2 linked regions of the Arabidopsis thaliana genome follow. The protein of the gene in region 1 interacts with the protein of each later gene in a biochemical or structural test. Each region holds a gene or a part of one and is shown in the gene's direction. Other genes may lie near its edges.

Evidence for each region.
Region 2: the proteins of AT5G12900 (region 1) and AT3G56370 form a complex in vitro, tested with the Arabidopsis thaliana proteins (one study listed by BioGRID).

Annotation. Positions count from the first base shown.
Region 1 is NC_003076.8:4,070,797-4,076,723, reverse strand, and holds AT5G12900 (DNA double-strand break repair RAD50 ATPase), read left to right. Parts: upstream 1-2,104; 5' UTR 2,105-2,278; coding exon 2,279-2,497; intron 2,498-3,103; coding exon 3,104-4,573; 3' UTR 4,574-4,828; downstream 4,829-5,927. Other genes in the region: AT5G12890 (UDP-Glycosyltransferase superfamily protein), read left to right, coding at 5,600-5,927.
Region 2 is NC_003074.8:20,898,029-20,904,711, reverse strand, and holds AT3G56370 (Leucine-rich repeat protein kinase family protein), read left to right. Parts: upstream 1-1,631; 5' UTR 1,632-1,877; intron 1,878-2,251; 5' UTR 2,252-2,321; coding exon 2,322-3,751; intron 3,752-3,844; coding exon 3,845-5,309; 3' UTR 5,310-5,613; downstream 5,614-6,683.

The DNA of each region.
Region 1 (5,927 bases):
TAAAAAAAAAAAAAAAAAATCGACTAAAAGACAAAAGTAAGAAATGAGGTAAATGTGAGATTCCAACACTAGAGTACTTTCACGTATACAATTATGTACACTATCTTACCTAAAGGATATTTTGTGAAAAATGGACCGAGAACTTACTTATACTACAGAGGCAAACACATGCTTTATTTGCTTGCCCTCAAGACGGGCTCTGTAAGACTATAACTACCAATCAAAATGCAAACTACTTTGATAGAATTACTAAAACTAACCCATCGTCAGTTTGCACCAATAAGCATTCATAAATACTTACCAATAAAGTTTCTATCTTTTGTCCAAAAGAAAAAGTTTCTATATATCTAGGTTTTGAAAAAACCTATCCTCGAAACTATAATGCTTCAATAGATCTTTAATAGCATGTATGGCCCGGTAGATAGAACAATGATGTAAAAGCCCATAGTATAATAGGTCTATACTAGTGCTGGATCTCAATGGAAGTGAAACAGGTGATTCTTAAGTAGAGATTATACAAATCTTTTTCAGTAATCGTATATTTAAAAAATTATTTTGGTTTAAACGTGCTTAACACCTGAAACAACCCAATTATGTGTTGGAAATATAGTAGCTATATCAATTCTTATAAATTTTTGTACTTGTAACATCATCTATAAGAATCTAGAATACTATGGATAAGAAGTCAAAACCCAACTGATTACATTTTGAGACTGTTGAAAGAAATATGTTTAAAAACGATCAACCTTATAGAAATGGTAACAAAGAAGTGTAGTAAAAAACAAATGCCCGGTTCATTCGCAAGAAAAGGCAAAAAGGCTATAAGGCATTACATACTTTAACGCATGTGGAAGTTTTTTTTCAAAACGCTTTATTAGGTTTAGGCTATTTGTACTTTATATATGGGTTTGGTGGGTTTGGTTTTGAAAGTTAAGCACAATTACTTAACAATGATTTTCTCATCATTAAATAAATAAAACAGTGTAATCCTTTTTTCTTAGTTTCTTGACTTCTTCTTCTCTTGCTGATGTAAACAACTCGACTTTACAACATTATTGTAAAACAACTCTTAAGACATGGTCAGTCCCACACGGAATTCTATCTTCTACTAAACAAAATTCATTTTGTCAGAAAGTCATCCTAGCTTTTTTTAACTAAGGTATGGCCTATTTCTTTTTGTAATTTACCCATTCTTCTAAGATATATATGACCTACTAATATTATCAAATTGATGTTGACTTGAATATACACCATAATCATTTAATTTTGCTTGAGGTCTCTAAGTGGTTGCTATAGATTTTGAAACAGTTGAGTTGATCCTTGTTATATTTTCCAATGACATGTGTGTTACACTGTTACTATTGAAAGACATTTTAATCATTTATATAAAATTCATTTTAGACTATGACTTTTCTTTTGTCAACAAACTACAGTATATGATTCTTTGAAGTATACAGATTTTGAAAATCTTTATAATATACAAATTTACAATGTATAACGGGATAGCATTTCTCTTTGTTTTTGTGTTCCTACATAATAATATCAATGCTGACTTGTATATATTTATCATAAATAGATATTATCCCTAGTTTTAGTTTTTCCTATTTTCTTAGTATAATAATCTTTGATTTTCTAGAGCTTTTAAATGAATAACACATATCTCTTTAGTAATAGAATTCCCTAGAACAAACCACATACTCTTGTTTTTCTTTTAATAATAGATGTTTGGATGGAAAAAAATCCAGTAATCTATATCCAACAATTGTCTTACCCATTTATCCGAAAGATACAACAAAGCTTATAGAAAATCATGTCTCAGATAAACATTTTGATTTACAATTAATAACATCATAAAACAGTGGAAATGTGTTTAGCAGTAGATAAGATAACAATTATGTAAAAAAACTGGAATTAGCTTTTGTAAACTGTTCAATAATTCTGATATGTTACCATATTAACCAAAAAACAAAATGAGAAAAGTGAGAAAAAAAATGAAAAGAAACAAAAAAGGAGGGTATTATCGTAAACATAAAAAATGGTCTCTGCCCTTCACATGCGTTCTTTCTATCAGTCCTTTTAAGAGAAGGGAGACAGAACATTCTTTGGATTTTCTATCTCTCTCTCTCTCTCTCTCTCTCTCTTCTTCACACACACAGAGACATCATCCTCTTCACACCCTTTTCTTTTGCACAATCGCATTCACTATCTCTTCTCTCTCTTTTGTGTCACATCCTTCTCTTCTCTTCTAAGTTCTAATCTTGTACTATCTTGTTCTACCATGGCTTCTTCTGAAACAAGAATGAACAAGGCAAGAGAAAAAGAAGAAGCCATAGCAAATGGAGTGAAGTTGAGAGCACTTCAAGCGAGTCTTATGCAGATGAAGTCAAGCCCATCTTCCAATTACAGTCTCAGAAACCCTTCTTCCTCTTCTGCTGCTTCACCTGCTTCTCGTCCTCTCCCTAACCTCTCTGCTCATGATTACCCTGTTTTCACTCCTGTAACTCTCTCTCTCTCTCTCTCTCTCTCTCTCTCTCTCTCTCTCTCTCTCTCTCTCTCTCTCTCTCTCTCTCTCTCTTTTCTCTTTTCCCACTTATCATTCTTCTTGGTTCCATGAGTTTGTTCTCTTTTTCTTGTGTCTCACTTGATTGATTTTTCGACATTATGTATGGGAATTTGGGTTTTGTTCAAACGCTTTTGGAGTTTTTAAAACTTTTTTTTATAATTTCACCAAACCCGAGATTTATTTGGTTAAACCCGGTTCAGGCTCGTTAATTATTGTCATTGCAGTATTCAATTTAGATAATACGTTTCTTAATTTATTGTACCATGTAGTTGTGTGTTTTGGATCTTCAAAAATGGTTCATTAATTCGAAAAGAATGTCAAAAATACATTATAGTATAGTAATAATTTGGTTAGTCCCTTTAATAATTTAACCACTGTTGAGTGTTAAAAGTATTAAGACAAACAGAAAAAGACCTGAATTCGGTAGAACCACTTTGTCTTTAGCAGACCACTGTTCTGAATTTGGACAAAAGTTACTGTGCTTTTTAACTTACAACACACATTTCTCTGCTAACTTTGTCTGTTGGTGTCTTGGAACAGAGCTATGAAGATGAGCCTGTGTCTGCATTTCATCACAAGAATCTCACTTTATCTGAGACTTGGGATGAAGATGGTGTTGGTTTAGTAGATGGAGATACTTATCTCTCTGATTCTTACAAAACCTCAACTTCAAGAAAGACTGTGATGATGCCTCATCAAGATTCTCATCATCATGTTTACACTATGTCGGACGCTCTCAGATCTCCACCGTTACATTTTTATACAACCGGTAGAAGCAACTGTGGCTCGGTCGACTTTAGATCGGTCTCTTCTTGCAATGACTACAATAAACAAAAAGGTTTCGACACGAAGAGCTTGAAGAGCTCTAATCTTGTTGTGCCCTTGACGGATTCGCACTCTGCTGTTGTTTCTTCTCAGCCAAGAAACCGTGGAGGTAGAGTAATGTCTTGGTTATTCCCTAAGTTAAAGAAGAAACAAAAGAGTAATTCGATCTTTAATTCACCTAGTATAACTGAGAAGTCAGAGGAAGTTTCTGAGGTGTTGAAGGATTCTGGTTCTGGTGTTGAGAAGTTGAAGAGAGAATTGATGGAAGCAAACAGAAGTAGGGATGCTGCGTTAACACAAGTCTCAGAGATGAAATCTTCATTGGGAGAGTTAAGTGAGAAGCTTCAGTACTTGGAAAGTTACTGTGACAATTTAAAGAAAGCTTTGAGAGAAGCAACAGAAGTAGTGTCACAGGAGAATAGTGGTGGAAGAAGCTCAGGGAAAAAGAACTCAGAGATGCCAGTGAGTGAAGAAGTGATGGTTGAAGGGTTCTTGCAGATTGTATCAGAAGCAAGATTATCGATAAAGCAGTTCTTGAAAACATTAGTTTCAGAGATTGATGAAGAAGACTCGACTCTAATTGGTAACATCAACACTCTCCTTCAACCTCACAACTTATCATTCACTTCTAAGTACTCCAAGATCATTCAGTACCACTTAGAAGCAATCATAAGCCAATCAGTATACCAAGACTTTGAGAACTGCGTATTCCAGAAGAACGGTAAGCCGAAACTGCTTGATCCGGAACAAGATCGACAAGCGAACTTCTCGTCCTTTGCTTCCTTGAGAAACTTGAGCTGGAACGAGGTATTGAAAAAGGGTACAAAATACTACAGTGATGAGTTCAGTAGATTCTGCGATGAGAAGATGAGTTTGATCATTACAACATTGAATTGGACAAGACCTTGGTCAGAACAAATGCTTCAAGCATTCTTTGTGGCTGCAAAATGTGTATGGTTGCTTCATTTGCTTGCCTTCTCGTTCAATCCAGCGTTAGGGATATTGAGAGTTGAGGAGAACAGAGAGTTTGAATCAAGTTTTATGGAAGATATGGGTGCAGATAGGCAGAGATCAGCATTGTCCCGTGGACCGGCACGGGTTAAGGTTATGGTAATGCCTGGGTTTTATGTTTTAGATAGGGTTTTGAGATGTAAGGTTCTTTGCAGGTACAAGTCATTGGGCTGAACTGAAGAGAGTCACACTCACTCTAGTCTAATCAAAATTGATTGGTTCTTAATTAACTTTTCTTATTGTTAATCTCTTGTGTTTCTTCTACCTAGGCTTTTTTTTACTGGTCTTTTTACACTTTGTTAAGAATTATTATAGGTTTTTAAATATTGTCAAATACTACTTGTCAAGGAGATTTTGTATTTTTACATTTTTGTATTGATGGAAAAGTATTGAATATGCACATTTGTGATTTATTTATTTATTTGCCGGCAGCACATTTGTGATTTAGATAATCAAAAATGTACATAGGCTAATAAGAACGCAAATATTAAATGTGGGCCGTAACAAATATTAGATTGTAAGATAGGCCCATTCACTTTTTTTGTTGCTTCCATATATTGTGTGTCAGGCCCAAGAGAATTTATATTAGGGGACCTCTTTTCTTCTATAGTAATAGGACGATGTCCCATACGCATTTTAGCTGCAGCTGCATCTAGCTATTGGTAATGGTATGTACATAAGTTCTTGAACTGTTCGGCGTTTATATAAGCTCAGTTCAATGAGTTGCTATTTTTTTCAAGATAGAAAATAATAATAATATATATATTAAAGAGTTTACATTTTGCTGTTTCTACTATAAATTTGATACAAATGCAATGAATATACTCTTATAAGTAGATTCATGAATACATGCCTAACTTTGTGGAAAATCATCACGTTTTTCACAATATGGACGAATGAGGAAAAAAAATTAGAGAGCAACAAAAAAAGGCCAAGGTCACACACCAATAATAATATTTCATGGAAAAAGTAAAAAAGAATTGACGAATGAGAGGAAACGAAAAGTGATTTTACCAATAGCCCCTTCCCTTTTAAAGTGATAAATAAATGTAGTCAATCTTGAAACTCTGTTTAAGTCTTTATTGTCAGACCAAAAACACACATTTTCTCTTGTCTAAATCTGAACCGTTATCGATACGGCAAAAATACAACCCCAAATCTATCCATCTCTCTCTCTATCTATCTTTTTTTTCCTCGGCAATGGCGGAAGCTAAACCCAGAAATCTGAGAATCGTGATGTTCCCTTTCATGGGACAAGGCCATATCATCCCGTTTGTAGCTTTAGCCCTTCGTTTAGAGAAGATTATGATTATGAACAGAGCCAACAAAACCACCATCTCTATGATCAATACTCCTTCGAACATCCCCAAAATACGCTCCAATCTTCCACCTGAATCCTCCATAAGTCTCATAGAGTTACCTTTCAACAGCTCTGATCATGGCCTTCCTCACGACGGCGAGAATTTCGATTCTCTTCCTTACTCTCTCGTCATCAGCCTTCTTGAAGCTTCTAGGTCGCTTCGTGAGC
Region 2 (6,683 bases), on another chromosome or scaffold:
GCTGCGAGTCGCATTTCTTTAGTTCAATTTGTTTTCTTTCCTGAAATATAATTCGGACTGTAGAACTTTGATAAGCCTTATTATTATCTGAGCCCATTTATCGTTTCTCATTAATGGGCCTCTAATGGAAGAGTTGGACCCATCTTATCCGTAGTTATTTACCATGGAATAAAAAATGAAACTGTAAGTAATCAATAATTAAATAAATATAAGAAAATTTGGAATTTTACATCACCGGAAAGTAAATATTTTACCTTTTAATGGCTGGTCCTAAATGCCAATCCTGATATGACAGAGGAAGATTCGAGTAAAAATTGAATGTGGAAATAAATACTAACTGTAGAAAACAAACAAAGGGTAAATTCTTCATATAGATGGAAAGCGAAGAACAGTAAATGTGAATTCGCTACGGTCCGGCTCACACTGCCCAAAAAATTCCTCGAAAGCTCTTAAAAACAGTAGTAAATTTGACCCTATATTTTTAGAATACATTAAAAAGTAAAAAAGGCCTCTTTGTTAAATTGCAAATAGAAACAAATAGTAAATTCCAAAATTTCCATGAAGGGTTGTTTTCCTTCCATGGGGAAAAGAGTTATTTTTCATTGTTTATTTCATAATAAATAACTTTTACTGTCAAAAGGAATATAAAATTTTAAAACATAGGTATGGGAGAGAGACCGAAGTCTGATAAAATGTCTTGACTCGGACCAAATCTCAAACGAGAAAGACAACAATTAAAAAAATTCCAAGAGCATGCTTAACGGATTATAATATTTTTTTCAACATCATTTGTTCTATTATCTGTTTTTTTTAATGTTTTATTTTATGGCAATAAGTGTTTGACACTTAGTTATTCAACCGCATTTCAATCTGTAGGAAAAGTTTACATAATGTATGATTCCTTGCACAAACAGAAGATCCAAAATTTACATCTGTAGCTCCTCCAAGTCAACCAAAATCCTTAGGTTTGTGATCCAATTTCAAAACCCCATAATTTTTCAAGAAAATTTGTAAACCCATAATTAATAAGTTTGATGCATTGACTACTGACCAGGACATTGTACATAAATGAACAATAACATTATGGTTGCAATTATTAATGATCTCTAAGCACCACAAAATATTTTTTCCAGGACACCATCATCATTCCTCACCAACTTACTTTAATGTTCTTACTTCAAAAAACAAAATAGAGAATCAAAATAAAAAAATGAAAAACCAAAACTATGGTGACCACTTTAACCACTGTCTCTTTCTGCATAATTTTTTACCCAAAATACCAATTCTCTGCATGAGAATAACAGAACCAACCACATTCCACATTATTTCCATTTTATGTGAAAGATTATTTTCTAATTAGTTGAATCATACCAAGAGGCCACAGAGCAGCATGTAAACCCATTAAAGAAAGTTTCTATTATTTGGGAAGGATAATTTAGTCATATTCAAATTTATAGTTTCTTTCTTTATGAGTTGGCCAATCATTTATTCATTTTCCCACTTACTATACCAACACAAAATAAAAATAAAAGCCACGTGTCAGCCAAGTCGGATTCGTCAAACCCAACAAAATAAATACACGTGTCAATTAAAGAGTTTTAATGAGTCCACCCACCTTCCTCGGGCCCCACACTCTCTTCTTTCCAGCCCGTTGATAAAGGCAGCTTTTAATTACTCTCTCTGCTCTCTTTTTTTTTCTTTATTGGCTTTTTTCTCTTCTTCCCAAATTCACTCTTCTTTTAAAGCTACAAAACCTAACAAAGTTGAAGAAGAAGAAGAAGCTCGTGCTCTCTCACTTTCTTTTCCTACGGTGTTTTTTTTCCCCCTGAGCTGCAACATTCTTCGTCGGAAATCTTCCCGGAGAAAATTCTTACTAGGTGAGAATTCCTCATTTCCAGATCGTAACTGTCCAATGACTCCTTTACTTAAAAAAACTCAAGTTATTTTGCTCAACATTTACTTCAGCCATTCACTTGAAGGTTGAATATTTCTTCAATTTCTATGAATTTCAAGTAAACTGTAGCTACTTCTATTCATATAACTAGCCTTTGTTTTACCGGATTTTTCTTCATTGTTTTTTGCTTTGTTTTGCTTCCTCCGTTGGCCGAAATGTAGCCGTTGAGATAGATTTTTGTTCTTTTCTTCTACTAAATCTAACGCCTAAGAATACGAACAAACAAAGTTTTTGTTTTGAGATGTACTGTTTTTTTTTTTCTCTTGTGTTCACCAATTTTCTTCTTTCTAATTTCAGCTCTACATAACTGAAAATGGAGGTCTTCCGCAACTAAAATCTGTTCAACGGAGAAGAGGGTTGTGGAAAGATGTACAAAGCACTGATTTTTACAGTCTTGTTGGTGTCGGCAGTAGCTCCGGTGAGATCTCTAGACCCGCCTTTAAACGACGACGTTTTAGGGCTCATTGTCTTCAAAGCCGATTTACGAGATCCAGAGCAAAAGCTAGCTTCTTGGAACGAAGATGACTACACTCCTTGTAGTTGGAACGGAGTCAAATGCCATCCGAGGACGAATCGAGTCACTGAGTTAAATCTAGATGGCTTCTCTCTGTCTGGTCGAATTGGTCGTGGCCTACTTCAGCTTCAGTTTCTTCATAAGCTCTCTCTGTCCAACAACAATCTCACGGGAATCATTAACCCTAATATGCTGCTGAGCCTTGTTAACCTTAAGGTTGTTGACTTGAGTAGCAATGGCTTGTCTGGTTCGCTTCCTGATGAGTTTTTCAGGCAATGTGGGTCATTAAGAGTTTTATCTCTGGCGAAGAACAAACTAACGGGGAAGATTCCGGTTAGTATAAGCTCGTGCTCGTCTCTTGCTGCTTTAAACTTGTCTTCCAATGGTTTTTCTGGTTCTATGCCTTTGGGGATTTGGTCTTTGAACACTCTAAGATCACTTGATTTGTCGAGGAATGAGTTAGAGGGAGAGTTTCCAGAGAAGATAGATAGATTGAACAACTTGCGTGCGCTTGATTTGAGTAGAAACCGGTTATCTGGTCCTATTCCTAGCGAAATTGGGAGCTGTATGCTGCTGAAGACTATTGATCTTAGTGAAAACTCTCTATCAGGAAGCTTACCAAATACATTTCAGCAGCTCAGTTTGTGTTATTCTCTGAACTTGGGAAAGAATGCGTTAGAAGGTGAAGTTCCAAAGTGGATAGGAGAAATGAGGAGTCTTGAGACTTTGGATCTTTCCATGAATAAGTTTTCAGGGCAGGTTCCAGACTCCATAGGCAACCTTCTAGCACTGAAAGTTCTCAACTTTTCTGGGAATGGGCTTATTGGTAGCTTGCCGGTCTCAACAGCCAACTGTATCAACCTCTTGGCCTTAGATTTAAGTGGGAATTCACTAACTGGAAAGCTTCCCATGTGGCTATTTCAAGATGGTTCTCGTGATGTGTCTGCATTAAAGAATGATAACTCTACTGGAGGTATCAAGAAGATCCAGGTTTTGGATCTCTCCCACAATGCATTCTCTGGCGAGATTGGAGCTGGTCTAGGAGATCTTAGAGACCTGGAGGGATTGCATCTGTCCAGAAACTCTCTTACCGGCCCCATCCCCAGTACCATTGGGGAACTAAAGCACTTGAGCGTCCTTGATGTGAGTCACAATCAGCTCAATGGAATGATTCCTCGAGAAACAGGTGGAGCTGTTTCTTTGGAGGAGTTGAGACTTGAAAATAACTTGTTGGAGGGAAATATTCCATCTTCCATCAAGAATTGCAGTTCCCTTCGGTCTTTGTAAGTCTCTTTTGCTTTAGGTTGCATTCTGTTAAGATTTTCCCATTGAAGATTATGTCTTAACTGTGTTCTGTTTCATGCTTCTTTCTACAGGATCCTGTCACATAACAAGCTGCTAGGCTCAATTCCACCAGAGCTCGCTAAACTTACAAGACTCGAAGAAGTCGACTTATCATTTAATGAACTGGCCGGAACACTTCCTAAACAGTTGGCTAATCTCGGCTATCTTCACACATTCAACATATCTCATAACCATCTCTTTGGGGAACTACCTGCAGGTGGAATCTTCAACGGTTTATCCCCAAGTTCAGTATCAGGAAACCCGGGAATTTGCGGTGCTGTTGTCAATAAGTCTTGTCCTGCCATCTCCCCTAAACCGATTGTGTTGAATCCTAATGCAACTTTCGATCCTTACAATGGTGAAATAGTGCCTCCAGGTGCTGGTCACAAAAGGATACTGCTTAGTATATCTTCTTTGATAGCCATTAGTGCTGCTGCAGCCATTGTGGTTGGTGTAATAGCCATCACGGTACTTAATCTGAGAGTGCGCGCATCAACGGTTTCAAGATCAGCAGTACCGCTCACGTTCTCAGGCGGAGATGACTTCAGTCGATCTCCCACTACTGATAGCAACTCAGGGAAGCTGGTGATGTTCTCTGGTGAACCTGATTTCAGCACTGGAACACATGCTCTGCTTAACAAAGACTGTGAGCTTGGTCGAGGTGGATTTGGAGCGGTGTACAGAACAGTTATCAGAGATGGGTATCCTGTAGCTATCAAGAAGCTCACTGTCTCGAGTCTTGTCAAGTCTCAGGACGAATTCGAAAGAGAGGTGAAGAAACTTGGAAAACTCAGGCATTCGAATCTGGTTAAACTCGAAGGATATTACTGGACAACTTCTCTCCAGCTTCTGATCTATGAGTTTCTCTCTGGTGGGAGTTTATACAAACAGTTGCACGAAGCACCAGGAGGTAATAGTTCGCTTTCTTGGAATGATCGGTTCAACATTATCCTTGGTACAGCGAAATGCTTAGCTTACTTGCACCAATCAAACATCATCCACTACAACATCAAATCGAGCAACGTGTTGCTAGACAGCTCTGGTGAGCCTAAAGTAGGAGACTACGGATTAGCGAGGCTGTTACCTATGCTAGATAGGTACGTGCTGAGTAGCAAGATACAGAGTGCGTTGGGATACATGGCTCCAGAGTTTGCTTGTAGAACGGTGAAAATAACAGAGAAATGTGATGTTTATGGATTTGGAGTCTTGGTCCTTGAAGTGGTTACAGGTAAAAAGCCTGTGGAGTATATGGAAGATGATGTTGTGGTTTTGTGTGATATGGTGAGAGAAGCTCTTGAAGATGGAAGAGCAGATGAATGTATTGACCCAAGGCTGCAAGGGAAGTTTCCGGTAGAAGAAGCGGTTGCAGTGATAAAGCTAGGGCTTATTTGCACTTCTCAGGTTCCATCAAGTAGACCACATATGGGAGAAGCTGTTAACATATTGAGGATGATCAGATGCCCTTCAGGGAGCTCAGATGAGTTGGGTTCAAGTTGAAAAGAAGGTTAAAGACTAACATGTTTTTTCACCAAGTTCCGGCGAAGAGGAATCCGGTTTGTTCATTTGGGGGTTTTAAGAGAAATCCTTGTTTGTGTTTGTTTTTTGATAATCTCTTATGTGTTATCTTTTGTGTCTGTTAGTTTCAATTTCAATGTTTGTAGCTTCTTCTATTTATTGTTCTTGTAACATTTTTAGGGCTGTATCGGATTTGTCTTCACCGGGTTCCATAATATGGGACTCTTTCGATGAAATCTTAAGTATTATTATGAAAGAAAGCCTGTAGTCTTCATTTCAGGTTCTGAACCATCTTTTAGCAGTCGTAGAAGATAAGAGCTTTCTTGTGAGACAAATAAAAACTTAGGGTTGAGAAAAACAAGAATCAAGATAAAACTTAGTGACTTCGTGTGATGATGCTCTCTGAACAAAGAGAGTATAAAATAACTTAAGAAGCTTCATTTGTTGTAACCATGTGCATGGGACTCTGTGAAAACTCAACAATTTAATGGGTCTGATCTTTTATTGGATTATGGGAATCGAAGAAACGTCTCAAGAATCTGTAATTAAAATACATTATTCATTAGTATCTTTTTGAGGGATAATATAAGTACATTTTTAACAGAAGAACCCTAGTTTCAATGGCCGATAAAAGAGGAATGGAGCATGCCTTGTCTGAAACAGACCACGTTTTTCTCTCTTGGAGTTGGGAAAGACGAAATTAGTACTACAATCTACGTTGTCTAGCCTCGGTAATTTGCAACATTTTGACATTTTAACTCATAAGTTAAAAATCCATTTCAATATTGTACATGATAGCATTAAAGTGAGATGGCATCTAACGTTTTGACTTTCTAAGCCAAATATGCTAACACTTTTTTTTTCCATTTGAAATGGAACCTGAAAAAATAAGTTACTTAAGGGACATTTTCCATTTATAATTTTTTTCTTTTTCCATATACAGCTTATTATTATATTACCGATCAATTCTTCGGTTTATAACTAGGTTGGAGAAAAAAATAATTCATCTTTCTATACACATTTTTTCATGTCATTAATATATACAGCTTATTAATATATGAGTTAATTCCTCTAGGTTAGCTTATACAGTATATATGTCATTTTCATTTATTGGATTATTTCCAAAAAAATCCCAAAAAGGAACCTTGTATAAACCAAAAAAATAAAAAAATAAGATTGTGAAATGTTAAAAAAAAAATATATATAATGGTGATCATAATTAAGCCATAACTTAAGAGTCTTAGATGGTGATGCCAATAATTTAGAGGTGGTTGATTAAGTGTAATCATTCACTTCCGTAAGTCCGATCGTGAAATGTCTTGTGCTGCTAAATGTGTATCGCTTGTCAAAGTCATA